Linked DNA regions of Diceros bicornis minor. The protein of the gene in region 1 interacts with the protein of each later gene in a biochemical or structural test. Links are inferred from orthologs where the notes say so. Each region holds a gene or a part of one and is shown on either strand. Other genes may lie near its edges. The genes, in order: PJA1 and MAGED1.

Evidence for each region.
Region 2: the proteins of PJA1 (region 1) and MAGED1 form a complex in vitro, tested with the Homo sapiens proteins (2 studies listed by BioGRID, with this or other methods). The link is inferred for Diceros bicornis minor from reciprocal best matches to the Homo sapiens genes PJA1 and MAGED1.

What each region holds. Positions count from the first base shown.
Region 1 is NC_080781.1:62,652,858-62,662,212, reverse strand, and holds the start of PJA1 (E3 ubiquitin-protein ligase Praja-1), read left to right. Parts: upstream 1-5,569; 5' UTR 5,570-5,653; intron 5,654-7,616; 5' UTR 7,617-7,845; coding exon 7,846-9,355. UniProt on the Homo sapiens protein: Has E2-dependent E3 ubiquitin-protein ligase activity. Ubiquitinates MAGED1 antigen leading to its subsequent degradation by proteasome. May be involved in protein sorting.
Region 2 is NC_080781.1:44,340,137-44,348,752, forward strand, and holds the start of MAGED1 (melanoma-associated antigen D1), read left to right. Parts: upstream 1-4,696; 5' UTR 4,697-4,776; intron 4,777-8,616. UniProt on the Homo sapiens protein: Involved in the apoptotic response after nerve growth factor (NGF) binding in neuronal cells. Inhibits cell cycle progression, and facilitates NGFR-mediated apoptosis. May act as a regulator of the function of DLX family members.

The DNA.
Region 1 (9,355 bases):
ACTCAGCCATAAAAAAAGACAAAATCGTCCCATTTGCAACAACATGGATGGGCCTGGAGCGTATTATGTTAAGTGAAATAAGCCAGAAAGAGAAAGACAAACACTGTATGATCTCACTCATATGTGGAATATAAACCAACACATGGACAGAGAAAACTGGACTGTGGTTACCCGGGCAGTGGGGGTGGGGGGTGGGGGGTGGGCACAAGGGGTGAAGGGAGTCATATATGGGGTGATGGACAAACAAAAATGTACAACCCAAAATTTCACAATGTTAGAAACCATTAAAACATCAATAAAAAAAAAAAAAAACAACAAAAAAGAAGTTCTTCAGAAAGAAGAAGAATATAGGTCAGAAACTTGGATCTACATAAAAAAAGGGAGAGTGTTTGAGAAGGAATAAATAAAGGTATAAATAAAATAAAATCTTCCATTTTTCTTATTCTTAACTGACCTAACAGATAATAGTTTGTTCAAAAAATAATAATAGCAACAATGTATTGGATGATTATAGCCTACAGATAAGTGAAATGAATGACAGTGGTGTTATAAGGGACAGGAGGAAGGAATTGGGAATACTCTGTTATAAGGTACATGCACTACCCATGAAGTAGTATAGTGTCATTTGAAAGTGGGCTTGGATTAGTTGTAAATGTATATTGCAAACTCTAGGGCAACCACTAAAAAATGTAAAAATAAGAAATATAATTGAAATCCTAAGAGAGGTGAGAAAATGGAATCATATAAAGTGCTCAATTAAAATCAGAGAAGAGAGAAAAAGAATGGAAGACAAAAAGAGAGAAACAAAGAACAAGGACAATGAATAGGAAACAGTTACAAATACGGTACATATTAATCCAACCATAACAATAATCATTTTAAATGTGAATGGTCTAACTACACCAATTAAAAGGCAGAGACTATCAGAATGGATTTTAAAAAAGACCCAGGGCCGGCCCTGTGGCTTAGCGGTTGAGTGTGCACGCTCCACTACTGGCGGCCCCGGGTTTGGATCCCGGGTGCGCACTGACACACCGCTTCTCCGGCCATGCTGAGGCCGCATCCCACATACAGCAACTAGAAGGATGTGCAACTATAACATACAACTATCCACTGGGGCTTTGGGGAAAAAAAAGGAGGAGGATTGGCAATAGATGTTAGCTCAGAGCCGGTCTTCCTCAGCAAAAAGAGGAGGATTAGCATGGATGTTAGCTCAGGGCTGATCTTCCTCACACACACACACAAAAAAAAATAAAAATAAAAAAAGACCCAACTATATGTTTTCTACAAGAAACCCATTTTAGATATAAAGACACAGATTAAAAGTAAATGGATAGAGGAAGAGATACATGCTAACATTAATAAAAAGAAAGCTGGAGTAGCTATGTTAATTCCAGACAAAGCAGATTTCAGAACAAGGAAAATTATCAGGGATAAATAGGGGCATTACATAATGATAAAAGGGGTCAATTCTCCAAGAAGACGTAACAGTCCTTAATGTGTATGCACCTGACAAAAAGGCATCAAAATACATGAGGCAAAAATGGGTAGGACTACAAGGAAAAATAGATGAATCCACTATTATAGTTGGAGACTTCAACACCCCTCCATCAATAATTGACAAATCCAGCAGGCACAAAATCAGTAAGGCTATGGTTGAACTGAATAGCACCATCAATCACCTGGATCTAATTGATATTTATAGATTACTTCATTCAACAACAGCAGAATACACTTTCTTCTCAAGCTCACATGGAATATTCACCAAGATAGACCACATCCTGGGCCAGAAAATACACCTTAACAAATTTAAAAGAATAGATATTATACAAAGTGTGCTCTCAGACCACAGTGGAATTAAATTAGAAATCAATAACGGAAAGATAGCTGGAAAATTCCCAAATATTTGGAGATTAAACAACACATTTCTAAATAACATATGGGTTAAGAAGAAGTCTTAAGAGAAATTGAAAAAATATTTTGAAATAAGTGAAAATGAAACTATAACAACAAAATTTGTGGGATGCAGTAAAAGCAGTGCTTAGAGGGAAATTTATAACATTGAATACATATATTAGAAAAGAAGAAGGATCTAAAATCAATAATCTAAGCTTCCACCTTAGGAAACTAGAAAAAGAAAAGCAAATTAAATCCAAAGTGAGCAGAGGAAAATAACAAAAGAACAGAAATAAATGAAATTGAAAACAGAACAATAGAGAATATCAACAAAACCAAAAGCTGATTCTTTGAAAAGATCAATAAGATTGGTAAGTCTTTAGCCAGGCTCACCACGAAAAAAAGAGAGTAGAGCCAGCCCTGATGCTCTAGTGGTTAAAGTTTGGTGCTCTTACTGCTTTGGCAGCCCAGGTTTATTTCCTGGTAGTGGAACCACACCACCCGTCTATCAGTTGCCATGCTGTGGCAGGGGCTCACATTGAAGAACTAGAATGACTTACAACTAGGATATACAACTGTGCTCTAGGGCTTTGGGGAGGAAAATAAAAGAGGAAGATTGGCAACAGATGTTAGCTCAGGGTGAATCTTTCCCTGCCAAAAAAAAAAAAAAAAGATACTGCCCCTACTTAAAAAAAGAAAAAGAAAAAGAAAAGAAAAAAGAGAATAGACAAAATTACGAATAACAGAAATGAAAGAGGAGCCATTACTACTGATCTCACGGACATCAAAAGGATAATAAAGACATATTATGACCAACTCCATGCCTACAAATTTGATAACTTAGATGAAATGGACAAATTCTGTGGCTCGCTTTCAACGACTAGGATATGGCAAAAGTGTTGGGATGTCACTTCTGAGCTTAAGTCATAAAAGGACTATGTCTTCCATCTTAGGTGCTCTTTGGCTGTTTCTCTCACCGACTGCCATGTTGTGAGGAGACTCAGGAAGCCCGTGGATAGGCCCACATGACAAGGAATTGAAGCCTGACAGCAACCACATGAGTGAGCTTGCAAGTGGATTTTCTGAGCCTGCCAACAGCCAAGTAAAAGAGCTTTGATGTGGACCTCACTCCTCAATTAAGCCTGCAAATGAAACTGCAGCCCCAGATGACAGTTGGAGTGCAACTTCATGAGAGACTTCGAACCAGAGGCACCCAGGTAAGCCGTGCATAGATTCCTAACCCACAGAAACTCTGATGTAATAAATCTTTGTTTTTTTAAGCTGCTAAGTTTTGGGGCAATTTGTTACACAGCAATAGATAACTACTATATACCCTTTGACCCAGAAACTTCACTTCAATGTACATACACTAGAGCAATTTTTTCCAATCTTTTTCACGTCAGAGCATATGTTAAAATGCTAATAATTGTGCCAGTTCATTGGGATGAACAGACAGTCTGCTCTTAGCCAGAGGCAACAGTCCCCAGGGCAGCAGCTGAGTGAAGCCAGGCCCATCTTCCTGGAGAGCTAAGGGCATTGATATGTCAGAATACCCATTACCCAGTTGGGAAGGTTTGCCCCAGAGAAACTCATCCATATGGGCACGAGGAGCCATGTGCTAGGATGTTCATTAAATCCTCATTTATAATTGCACAAAACAGAAACAACCCAAGTCTATCAGCAGGGAAAGAGATAAAGAAATTGGATAATTGATGCAACAGATGTCCATATAATATATTATAGTAATACTATATTGGAAAATTAATACAATAGTATTCAGCAGTTAAAATGCATGACCTAGATCTAAATGTATCAAATTGCTAAATTTCAAAAAAAATAAGTGAAAATTTAAGTTGCAAAAGAATGTATTTATTATAATAACATTTAAATAATTTAAAATACATAAAAGAATAATGTGTATTGGTTATGGATATATACATATGTAGAAAAAGAAAAACACGGACAAGAAGGAAACTTCTAAACAGTGCTTCTTTTGGGAAAAGAAGATGAATAGAATAAAGTGAGAGCTTCAACTCTAATATTTTGTTTCAAAAACAGAAGGATCTGAGGATCTGAAGAAAATAAAATTTGCTCACCCTGTGTGACAGGTACATGCAAATATGCATTTTATACTCTGTACTTTTCTGTATGTTTGAAATATTTTTTATAAAAAAATACATCATTTCTTGAGTCCAAAAAATATGTATACATTAGATCAGGCTTGTTCAGTGTGTTGTTCAATCTCTCTATATCCTCGTTTCTTTGCAGTCTATGTGATCTATCTATACCATAACAAGTGCGGTTGAATCTCTCACGATAATTGCAGACTTTTTCATCTCTCTTTACATTTCTAATAATATTTGCCTCATTTATTTTGAAATTACATTGTTTGGCATATAAATTTTAGTGACTATATCTTCTCAGTGAATGAAACAACCTGTTTTGTTCTCTTTAATGCTTTTTACTTTGAGTTTTTGATTTTTCTGATATTAATATTTCTACATGTATCTTTCCTTTCTTCCTTCTTTCCTTCTCTTTTTTTTCCCTAAATTCCTTCCTTCTCCTCTCTCCCTCCCTCCTTTCCTCCCTTTCTTCTTTTCTTCCTTCCTTCCCGCTAGTATTTCACTGGCATATATTTTCTATTCCTATTTCTGCTTTAGGTGAAACTCATATAAACAGCATATAACTGGATTTCTAAAAACGAAATGCTCAAAATGAGAGTTTGCTTTTTTATAGGAGATATTAACCCATAATACATACTGATGTATTTGCATTTATTCCTGCCCTTTGTTTTTTATTTTTTAACATCCTTTCTTGCTGCCTCCCACCCCATTTCTACCCTTTGTTAGACTGAGTTTTTCTCTTTGTTCTACATATTATTTCTTTAATGGTTTGAAAGTTATACAGCCTATTTCTATTCTATTGTTACCCTTAAAATTTCTTGTTCTTCTATTTTACATTTTATTTCCAGTCAGAACAAAACTTTGTTATTGTTGTGAACATAGATGTCTTGACATTCAATGTAAATATTAGAGATAACATTGTAAAGTGCGATTTATAAAAAAGAGTTCAGAGTTTAAGAAAATTGTATAACTCTAAAAGGCACAGCAATTCAATGACCAGAATGTGAACCCGTGTGTGCTTCATGATCGATCATTTCTTTTCATTTCAGTCAAGAAACTTGATTTTGCGATTAACAGCAACAATTCTACTGTAAACAGTTCAATTTGCTTCAACCACCAGGTTAAAAAAATTTAAGCTTACTGCAACCCTAAATACAGTTTCACATTTTTAATACTTCCAGTACAAGCCATACCACATAACATAGGATATGATATAGTCATATAATTACTTTCACATTGGAATTAATCAGAAAGAATTGCAGATTTCATTTTACTGGAAAAAAAAAAACCGAGAACAGAAGGGAATATGGCTAAATGTTTAACATTTGTTAAAGCTGGCTGTTGGTTACATTTTTCGCTGTCCTTTTCTGTATCCTTGACGATTTCATCATTTAAAATGAAATAATGCTTTCGGGCCCTCCTTGATTTGTCGAGAGCGGCTGCCACCCCCGCCACATCAAGGGGGCGGGCCCCAGCCGACGCCACAACCACTTCCGCCGCCGCAGTCGCCGCCCGCCCCACTGCTGTCTGGCGGGGGAGGAGCTGGAGACCCGGGAGCAGCGGCTCTGGCGGTCGTGGCGGTCGGAGGTCTGAGAGCTCTGTTCCTCTCGAGAGCGTACGGGGGTCGGGACTGGGTGAGTGAAAGGCGGTTTCTTTCCTCGATTTATTCAGACGCGGCAGTGGGACGACTGGCCGGGCATGGGCGGGTGGCTGGGCACGGAGGCGAGAATTGTGGGGGGCTCTATAGGACAGATTTTCAGGCTCGCCCCTCGGGAAGGGGTGGGGCGGACGCGGGACCTGACTGCAGAGTGAGGCCTGTGTCCTCCATTGGCCTGTTTTGGGGCTCCATCCTCCGTCCTCCAGCCCCTTTCGTGTGGCACGGCCCCCACTTGAATGGCTTTAATCGCTATATGAGAGGGGAGTGGTGTCACGGCCCTCTCCCACCTCTCTCTGCCTCTCCTCCCCCCCTTCCTTCCTCCCTTCTTGGCCCCTTTGCGCAGCACTCCGTGGCCTTTCTTCCCCCATTTTGCAGTTGTTTTGCTGAATGGTAAATTGTTAAGATTTTTAGGTAAATATATTGTTCCCAGGAAAAGAATTGGCAGAAAAACAAATTATTCCCCCGGGAAAACTATATCCACATACGCCCTTTTCTTTCTTTTTTCCCCTTCCCTGTCATATCTGTTTGGTTTGGATCTACCGTTTGGACTGATAACATTTTCCTGTCTCTCACTATGACATTGTGCCGCCCCCACCCCCATGTCTCCAAGTGCGCACATGGGGACACACACACACATGCACGCGTATACACACACATACACACATGCACACACACAGACGCACAGAAACCTTCCATTGCAGCCCCCTCTCCATCTCCCCATACTCAAGGTTGCGATGCATCCCCTCCCCCGCGCATGCATGGACACACACACGCACACACACCCTTTCACACATTGTCATACCGTCCAGTGCCTTTCCCTACCTCTCACTTCCTGTCCCATACACACTTCCAGAAGCGGCCCCCTCCTCCTTCTGCCTCTTCATGCTCTGGAGAACACACACACACACACACACACTCACACACTCACCCTCCCTCTGGGACCATCTTATCCCCTGCCTGCCACATACACACATAAGGATATCCTTCAATTGCTGGCTCCTCTTTCATATGCTGCTTACATACATATGCCCCCACACACACTTGTTCACACACCCCTCTTAAATGCTCCCCTCTCCTGTTCCCTGTCTGCTACTTGTATGCACAGACAGCCCTCCTTTGCTGGCCCCTGTGGTGCACACACTCACATAAATCCTTTTCCAGGGACGCCACCCCCTTCCCTGCTAGCCACATTCATGCATACAGACCTTCTTTGATTGCTGGCCCCTGTTCCGCCTGCCCGCCACAAGCACATCCCTCTCCAGTGCTGTCCTCATCGATGCATTTGCTCATATTGACATTTCTCCATTGTTGCCTCCCATTTTGATGAACACACACACAAACTCATGGACGTCCCTGTCCAATGCCACCGTACCCTTCCTTGCCTGCCACAGATGCATAAGCACAGGCATCCCTGCATAGAGTTCCAGCTGCCATACATACAACACCACACACACATTCTCTCTCTCATACTCACACACACCTCTCTCCTCTAAAGCCACCCCATCCACACCTGTCATTTTCATACATTCAGAATGGGTCTCATTCTGACACTCACACCTCTTCCCAATGTCACTGTCACATGCTCCTTCCCCCTACAAACACAGACATCTCTCCACTGCATGATTGCTGGTCCCCCTTCCACCTGCTTCTCTCCTCCTGCTAGACACATAGGCACTCCTGCACACATGGTGATCTATATTTTCCACCCTTTTCCAATTTGCATTTCTCCTGTATGTCTGCAGGGCTCCAAAAAACGCAGACACCCCGTAAAAAACCTGCAGCAGCCTTTCTTCTTCCCATGTTGGCACAATTCCACAGTACTTCACCCCCCTTCCAAGCATCCAGTCACCCCCCGTCTTCTGTCAGATTCTCCTCTAAGTGTGGCTTTCCTGCAAATCCAGTTTTGTAATCATTTTGCCAACATTAAAAATGTGTTCCAGGTCTACACCTGACAGTCACTGGAATGCTACTCCAGGCCTTAGAAGAAAGTGAAACTAATTTAAAAGGCCCCTTATTCTTTCTGTTACCTGCCTGCTGAAGTGAAAGTAAATCTCCCTGCTCCTTTATTCTGAACTGATTTGACTTTCCCATCTCCAAAGTGTGTACAGGGAGCAGGAGCCTTTCCACTCGAGCCCCAAGCTGTATTGGAAACCCTCCTAAGTCAGAGCAATGGGTCAGGAATCTAGCAAGCCTGTATGGCCCAAGCCAGCAGGAGGGTATCAGTCCAACACAGGCAGGAGGTATGGAAGGAGGCATGCTTATGTCAGTTTCAGGCCGTCCACGAGCCAGCAGGAAAGAATTTCCAGTCAGAGAAAGACGACATCTGAAGTCTCAATGCACAGATCAGCCCCCAGTCAAACCACCAAGAGGAGCCGCTCGCCATTTTCCACCACTCGTCGTAGTTGGGACGACAGTGAGAGCTCGGGAACCAGCCTGAATGTTGACAATGAGGACTACACCAGGTACCCGCCACGCGAGTACAGGGCTTCGGGTAGCAGAAGAGGAATGGCTTATGGACATGTTGACTCTTTCGGGGCAGATGATAGTGAGGAGGAGGGGGCTGGGCCTGTTGAGCGAGCACCAGTGAGAGGGAAAACTGGCAAGTTTAAAGATGATAAGCTGTATGACCCAGAGAAAGGGGTGAGGTCTCTGACTGGGGTGCCCCCACAGTTCTCTAGTTTTAACCGTGATGTGAGAGAGGAGCTTGACAAGTTAGACCCAGCCCCTGCAGCAAGATGCTCTGCTAGCCGAGCTGAGTTTCTGCAGCAAAATAGCATGGTCTCTCAGACACCTGCTGATGAAGGCAAAGTGGCTACAAATGGTAATAGCCTGGAGCGGGAGAGACAGGAGCAGAATTTGCCTGCACGTCCGGGCAGGGCTCCTGTGAGTATTTGTGGTGGTGGGGAAAACACCCCAAAGGGTGCAGAGGAACCAGTGGTGAGGCCCAAAATCAGAAATCTGGCAAGTCCAAACTGTGTGAAACCAAAAATGTTTTTTGATACTGATGATGATGATGATATGCCACACAGTACTTCCAGGTGGAGGGATACTGCCAACACTGATGACGGCCACTCGGATAGCCTAGCCAAAAGAGGCAGAGGCGAGAGTTCAAGTGGCTACTCTGAGCCTAAGTACCCTGAAGACAAGAGGGAAGCCAGGAATGACCAAGTGAAGCCAGAAAAGGTGCCGAGACGGCGACGAACCATGGCCGACCCTGACTTCTGGACGTACAGCGATGATTACTACAAATATTTTGGTGAAGACTCTGACAGTGACAAAGAGTGGACTGCTGCTCTGCGTCGGAAATATCGAGGTCGGGAGCAAAATCTGTCATCCAGTGGTGAAAGCTGGGAGACTCTGCCAGGGAGAGAAGAGCATGAACCTGAGCAAGCCAGAGTGAATGCCAGTGCCAGTGCCAGCGCCAGCCCCAGTGCTAGTGCCAGTGCTGGCAGCAATGAACTTGAAGAAGTTCGAGGACCATCTCTTCAGGAAGAGGAGCGGGCATCCCCAGAAGAAGAAGTTCCTTGGCTGCCATACAATGAAAATGAGAGTAGCAGTGAGGGGGATAATGATTCTGGTCAGGAGTTTCTGCAGCCCGGAGTGTTCATGCTGGATGGAAACAACAACCTTGAAGATGACTCCAGTGTGAGTGAAGACCTAGAAGTGGATTGGAGCCTCT
Region 2 (8,616 bases), about 18 Mb from region 1:
AAGAATTTTTTTGTAGTTATAGAAAATCTAATTCCATAATTTATAGGGAAAATGAAAGGAATCAGAATAGCCAAGCCAATTTTGAAAAAGAAGAATAAATTTGAAGGAATCACACCACTTGAGATTAAGATTTAGTTTAAAACTACAGTTATCAAGACAGTGTGGTATTGGTGAAGGGATGACACATAGATCAGTGCAAAAGAACAGAGGGTTCAGAAATAGACCAATACAAATATGGTGAATTTATTTTTTACAAAGGTGCATATTCAATGGAGAAACAAAAGTCCTTTTAACAAATGGTGTGCATACTAAAACCATAAAGAGATTCTATTACCTACCTGTTAGAATGGCTAACATGAAAAAAAGTATGAAGAATACAAAGTGTTGGCAAGGATGTGGAGCAATTAGTACTTTCACATATTGCTGGTGGGAATGCAAAATGATACAGCCACTTTAGAAAACATTTTGGCAGTTTTTATTTAAATTAAACATCCACATACCATGACCATTTATGAGCAATCCTACTCCAAGGCACTTCTTTTGAGAAATTAAAACTTATGTTCACACAAAAATCTGCATATGAATGTTATAGCTGCTTAATTGATCATCTCCAAAAGTGGAAACCACCCAAATATCTTTCAATTGGTGAATGGATAAACAATTTGTGATACATCCATACAATGAAATACCATTCAGAAATAAAAACTGATGAATGATTGATACATGCAACGACTTAAATGAATTTCAAAAGTGTTATCCAAAGTAAAAGAAGCCTGTTTCAAAAGGTTACATATTCTACGTTTCCATTTATATGACATTTTAGAAAAGAAGAAACTAGACTGAAAGAGAACAGGTGAGTCGGCCAGGGTTTAGGGGTAGGGAGGACTGTGTGACTAATACAGGATATCATAGGGACTTTGAGGGATTTAGGGATTGTCTTGTATTCTGACTGTAGTGTGGTTACATGAATCAATGCATGTGCTAATATTCGTAGTACTGTACATGCCAAAAAAGTAGTTTACTGCATGTAATTTAAAAAAATGACAAATGTCTTTATGCACCATGGAGAAATGAATGCCTACATATATAGTTAAGTGAAAAAAATCGTGGTGCGAAATAGTTTGTATCATATGCTATTGTTTGGTAAAAATGTAAAAAAATATATACAATTGTTTGCTTGCATATGTATAAAATGTCTTTGAAAGAATAAGAACCTCACTAGGTCGCTAGGGGCCAGGTATAAGATGGAAAGTTTTTATTGCATATAATTTTATCTCATTTTTTGGTAATTACTTTTTTAAATTATTCTTTGTAACTTTATTATAATAGATGATATATACAAAATAATATGTGTAATATATTTGTAAATTATAAACAGCAGTGGTATAATGAACACTTCTGAACCATCTATCAACTCAAGAGCAAGATAATTATTAATAAATTTTCTCTGGCTATGAGATCCTCCTCTGCCTCTCTTCACCTATCCCAGAGGTAAACACTATCCATCAAACCACATGTCTTTCTGTTTATATAGGTATGTGCTTCTTGTTTTTAATGATTGAAATTTTTTATCCTATTTCATTTTATCTCTCTATGGATTTAAATTTATGCATTTTGCTTATTCTATTTTTTACTCTCACTGTGCTTCTGCTATTTTAGTAGTAACTTCTGAATATTTATTACAATTATTTAACTTAATGTCTGAACTTTAAAAATATATTAACTTCTCTCTCAATTTAATTCTTATCTCCATCTTTTCTTGTTATATAATATTTTTGTTCATAATCTTTGAATCACCATTTTCTTCAACCCCACAACTCAGTCCTAATTATTATGTTTTTATACATACCATATTTGTTTTTTAGATTGACATACATGTTTATCATTTTAACTTGCTCTCCATTCCTTCTAGCTTTTCAGACTGTCCTTCTGGGATCATTTCCTTTTTCCTGAGGTGTAGCCTGTAGGGCAGTAATTTTCAATCTCCTCCGTGCATCAGAAACACCCTAAAGAGCTTTAAATTCACATATAAATGCCAGACCTCACCCCTAGAGCTTTAGGTTAATTTTGGCTGGGACGGGAACTAGGCATTGGTATTAAAAAAAGAAGAAAGACAAAAGGTCTCCTACTGATTCTAATGGGCATCCAGAGTTGATAACTACTGCTTTGTAAGTTCCATATTTATTACGTTGTTTTGTTTATTGCTTGTCTTCCTCACTAAAATGTAAGTTCCAAAGTGCAAGGATTTTTTTCATTCCTTTACTTATGCATGTCTCTCTACTGCCTTGAGCAGTGACAACCACACAGTAGTTGACCAACAAATGTTTGTTGAGTGAATGAAAGAAAGTGATAAGAATAGGATACATGGCAGAAGCAGAGAAGAGGAGCTGTTGTCTAGTTTTGGTTAAGGAGTGAAAGAAAGAGTCAGCATGGTTTCGTGAAAGAGATAAAATGTGAGCTGACCTTTGAAGGGTGAATATGAGTTAACAGAGTGTGAAAGCACAGAGATTTGAGATCCTGGCGCACTTTCCAAATTATAAGCAGTTGTGTGAGACTTGGACTTAGGGTAGAAGAGGCTGAGTGGTGAGAGATGAGGCGAGAGAGAGAGAGAGAGAGAGACAGAGAGAGAGACAGAGAGAGAGAGAGAGAGACAGAGTTAGACTACCAAGGCATTTGTATACCATGGTAAGGAGTTGGGATTTGGGGAGAAATATGGAGAGTCTGAACTAAGATAGTTATCTTGGTGACTGAGAGAAATGGATGAAATCTATCAATGTTGTTCATATATCACCCTTTTAGTGAGCCCTTCTGTAATGGCAGCCCCCTACCTCTCTCCCACACACATTGCTATCCTACTTACCTGCTTTATTTCTTCATAGCACTTGTCACTTTTTAGCATGTATTTTCCCAAAAATTTTGTTATCTGACACAAGAATGTAACTCCTGTGAGGGCAGAAATTTTTGTCCGTTTTCGTCACAGTTCTATCCTGAGAGCCCAGTGCATATTAACTGCTCAGTAAATATTTGTTGCATGAACTAACAAAAAATTTGAATGTAGAGAGAGTCAAGGAAAATACTCAAGTTTCAATGCCTCTGGATTTCTGATAATCCACTGGCTATTTTTTTTTCAGCTCAATTCCCAAATATAATTAATTCTTAATAGCACAAGCCCCTAACTTTCTGTATTTATTCATTGATTACCACAATATCCTCTAAACCAACGTCTCTGCCTCAGATTGCACCAGTACAACCCATTTTCTATATTTTGGTTTGAAATGTTACTGTATACTTTCTTCCTTAAAATTCTTCTTTGACTTTCTGTTTTCCTCATAATTAAGCTCAGACACTACAACATGGCATGCAAGATCCTTCTTTCTCTGGCTTCTTACATCCAGCTTCATCTCTCATCACTGCTCCTTTCACATGATACTTCAACTCCACTGCCATTATTTCCTTTCATTCATCCGTTCAACCATTTATTCAACATTGAACAAGTCTTTATTGAGCATCCTGTAGGACGTGAGGTCTATTTTAGGTTTTTAGTATTGACCAGTCAATGGGATAGTCATAGTTCCTACACTATCTCCTCTTTACTGATTATTATTGTCACATTATAGTGCTGCTAATTGTTTATGTGTTCATTTCCCTCACTGGTTGGAGGGTCTTGAAATCAGAAGTATGTTTTGTTCTTCTTTATATGGGAAGTATCAGGAACCGAACCTTATATTGAGTGGTTGTTCAAAATATGTTGGTTGAATGACAAAATATGAGTCAAAATGTTGAAATGAAGTATAAAAATACTAGCAAAAGTGAGGACCTTGTGCTGGCTCCCATCATTGCCCTGACCACATTTTGGTCATTTATTCATTGAACAAACATTGATAATCACCTGTTTTATGCTAGACTTTCATATGTTTAAATGTCACCTTTAGCCCCTAGTCTGTAGGCTCCTGGTGCAATGCTTCTCTATGTAGCATAGTGTTTGGGACACGGTAAGCACTCAGTACATACTTGTGGATTGAATGAAAATAATCACAAAAGAGGAGAACTGGGGTACAGATTTTGGACTCAAAAGAGCTTTCTGGAGTTAGTGGCAATGAGTAATTCAATATTGAACTTTTAACGAGAGTAAAGATTATTCTTATTATTGAAACTTTTTGTCAGTTGTCATTTTCTTCATTTTTGGGGGGAGTATATAAGTATACAAGAATGCTTTCTAAATGAATTCACCTTTATTTATTTGGAAATTTGAGTATGGCATGAAACTCTTTGGATATCATCCCAATACAAACATGATTCAGATTTAAGATTTTTTAAAAATCTTGAAATTGAAATATGCCACTAATAAAAATGAACTTTTTTTCAAAACTGTGTGTCAGAAAACAGTAAACCAGTATGGTAAATACGTAACTATAGACATCCAAAAGTTAAGGGACTAAGGGTAAAGGAGGTATTCCAAAGGCTGAATCAACAAGGTGAGGTGACAAATTGAATACGTGGAGTTTGGCAGAGATACTGCAGTTCCTGGGATGACTACAGCCGGGATTTGTAAACAGTTACTGATTCCCCCTCCCAGTCGTTTTACATCACTACCCAGGTTCTCATCCGCTGAGAGAGCCAATAAGTTCAAGTATTGCAAGAGCTTGCTAGAGAGGCACAGGAAGTTGCCTGGAGTGAAGTGTGGGCGGGTGGCGGCAGAAGCTTAAGCTTCTGCCAAACAAAAGAAAATAGCACTTCCGGTCCCGCCAACGTCGCGTTGCGGCTTTCTTCGTCAAGGTGAGTGTAAAGAAAGGGTCTGGTAATTCTTACAAGTGAATCCCCAAACGCTGTAGGGAAGCTTTCCTCTTTGCTTCAACACGGGATGGAAAGAAGAATTCATCTCCAGAGTCCATTGTATGAAGGGTGTTTCTGATCCTTGTGGTTCCGGTCGCCTCCCTATCTCCTCTCTCCTACTCCAGAGATGGCAGGCGGTCGTCCCCTCCCCCTTCTGACTCTTGTGGTCCTTTTTGTCAGTGGTCATTCTTCACCTCTCCTCATTATCCCCGATCCTCTTCACGATCTTTCTGAGCCTGGATCATTCCCTCTACCACAGATTTCTTTCTTACCTCTTACTCCTACCTTCCACTCCACCCCATTTTAGCCTCAGAACTTTTGCAAACCCCTTCCCCCACTCTGAGCCCACATTCTTCCTTCTGACCCCAGTATCTTACTCCTCCGAAGGCTTCGGATCTCTCCTGTCCCCCTCCTGCAGAGGCCAGTGAATTATATACTTTCCAAAATCGGGTATGACTTCAGTTTCAAGGCCAGGGCTGTTTTTGTTCTTTTTAGAAATAAGCAAAGAAGCAGAAATTTTAGAGCCCTAAGAGACATAGGGACTCGTTCAAATTATTATGTTCATTTACTTTATTTTTTTACTGTAAACAAAATTACACAGAAGATATTGCACTGGTTTCAGTCCTCTACTCATGACATTAAAAAAAAATTACTTAGAATTGAATCCTCACAGTTTTAGAGGGGCAAACATAGTGGGTTTTGCTTATAACCTGGTGTCAGCTTTAGAGGGTGGAAGCTTTGCCATTCCCTTTAGAACTTCTCATAGGGCAGAAATGGTTGACAGATATGACATCCAATCACAAATTTATTATTTCACTTGAGTTGGGTTTATTATGCAGATCCTTTTCTTGTCTCTGGCAGCGACATGGAATAGCAAGCTGGCAGATTTTTCAAACAGATTTTTCCTAGGAGCTTTGCAAGTATTACCTATTTGGTGCAATGTAAACTTTTGTCTTTTTTTTTTTCGTTTTTTGCAACGTAAAATGTATTTTTCTGTTCCATTTGTCATGTGTAATTTGTCTTATGAGAACATTAGTTTATAATCACAATTTATTATTTCAGTTCTTTACCCAAGTGAGGGGAGATGATCGTTAAATTTATAATGAAAGTCAGGATTTTTCAGGCTCTAAAGAGGAATTTAACAAAGGCTCTCCTTGAACAAGCAATTTATTCCCTCTTTCTCCTGTAACTAGTGTATTATGCTTGCCAAAATAAGAGGTGATTCTTTTTTCTAGGCCGAGTATAATTTTCAGTTCTTTTAGAATAAACAATGAGGCAGAGATATCATAACACCAAAACACTTAGGAACTTTTTCAAAGGGTATTGCTGATGTCTCTATTCTCTATTCAAACCGTAATTACACAGCGTTTAAACATCATCACACTGGCTTCAACCCACTGTACATCCATCCATCCATTTATTAAAGAATTTTTTATTGAATAACTTTTATGTGCCAGACAGTGTTCTAAGCACTGAGGATACAACAGTGGAAGATAAAAACACAGTCTTTTATAGTTGAGAGATAGACAATAAATGAATATATAATAAATATATAATAGGTGGTGATGGGGAGGGGCTGTACTATTTTAGAAAAGATGATCAAGAAGGCCTCCCTAGTAAGGTGACATTTGAGCAGAAACCTAAAGGAAGTGAGGGTACAAACTATACAGATATTAGTGGGAAAACAGGATATAATCTACGTCAGTGTCTCTGCATTTTTTGTTCACTCTGCTTTCTACACTTCCCCTCACCCCACCCTGCCCATGGTCACTTTTCTGCATAACATAAATGCAGCACTCTACATACTCAAATAATCTAATCTGTCCATATAAATTCCCCATATTCTCTTCCTGCCTAGCTTCTTGCTACCATTTAGGTGAATCGTCAGTTACCAGCCCCTATGGGAAGACATCTCTATCTCCATCCTCACCTCTTCCTCAGTCTGTTTATTTGTGGTGCATTGTGTGTTATTGGACACCATATTTCCTTACCTCTCTCACTGCTCTTATCACTGCGTGTTCATATGTTGCCCATAAATATTTGGTATGGTAAATTGAAATTAATTCAGTGCTTATCTGTAACAGACAAGCTTTTAAATATAGTTGTCCCCCTAATGTTAAAAACCACCCTCTAAGGTCAGTATTACCGTTGTCATTTTACTGATGATAAAACCAAGGCTCAGAAGTGGATAGTAACTTGCTAGATGGTGGTGGAGTTCATGGAGTTAAGGTCTGTCAGACACTCAGTCCTGGCCTGGTTCTCTCTTTCTCTCCATCTGCCTGTCTGTTTGTCTCTGTTTATTAATGAGAAATAGAAAATATACAGAATATTTTATTTTATTATTTTATAAGACATAATCTGGGTGTAGAAATTTCATTTTGTAAAGTTTCCTTTCACAAATCGGATTATATCAGGTGCTTGAATTAGTTCCTAGTTATAAATATTAAGAGCTGAGGGGCATGATGAGTCTTTTTATTTGAACGTTTTTTAATAAAAAGTTTAAACAAGTATAAATTTAAAGAAGAGTTACAATGAATACTTTTATACTCCGAACCTAGATTCAACAGTTGTTAACTTTTGCCGTATTAGCTCACTTGTTCACTCACTTGCTTGCTCTATCTATCCATCCATCCATCCATTTTTTTATTGAGATATAATTTTTTGTATATTTTTTTAATCTATATTTTGGCTGAACCATTTGAGATTGGCAGGCATTGTTTTTAAGTAAACTTAAAAACATGCAGAAAGATGCACATATCGTAAATGTACAGCTCAAAGCATTTTCACAGTGTAAACACACCTGTGTAAACCAGCATTGAGATTAAGAAATAGAACATGATCAACATCTGAAAGCCCTTGAATGTATTCCCTGCCAGTCACAACTAAACTCCAAATTAATCACAGTCCTGCTTCTATGACTGCTATCATTTTGCCTGTTTTTGGACTTTATAAAAATACAATAGTATAGTATGCATTTTTTGGGGTCTGACTTCTTTGGCTTAAGATTCTGTTTTGGAGATTCATCCATGTTATTAGGTGTTATAGTAAGTCCTTCATTCTCATTGCTATGTATTGCATTATGTGAATATATTATGATAGATGAGCATTTTGGTTGTTACCATTTTTGGCCTGTAAATAGTACTGTGAACATTCTAATACATGTCTTTTGGTGATATATGCACACATTTCTGTTGGGCATATACCTTAGAATTGCTGAATCATAGGTTATGTATATGACTAGCTTTAGTAGATACTGCCAACCAGTTTCCTAAAGTGGTTGTACTAAAAAACTCCCAACAGAAATTTTTAAGAGTTCCAGTTGCTCTAGAGTATTGCCAACACTTGTCATTGTCTTTTCTTTTTAAGAAAAAAAAGTAGCCATTCTAGTGGTTATGAATGGTATCTCATTGTGGTTTTAATTTGCATATCTCTGGTGATAAATGTGTATCTTTCCATATGTTTGTTGGCCTGGATATCTTTTTATGAGGTGCCTATTCAAGTCTTTTGACCACTTTTTCTTTTGAACTGTCTTTTTCTTATTGATTTGTAGGAGATCTTTCTATATTAAGAATGTGAATACTTTGTTAGATATATTTATTGCAAATCTCAGTTACTTGCATTTTTGATCTCTTAATAGTGTCTTTTGATGAACTGAAGATCTCAATTTTAATATTGTTCAATTCATAATTTTTCCCTTTCGTGGCTACTCCTCGTTTGTCCTGGTTAAGAAATATTTGCCTTTCTCAAGGTCATGAAGATATTTTTTATGTTGTGTCTTTGTTT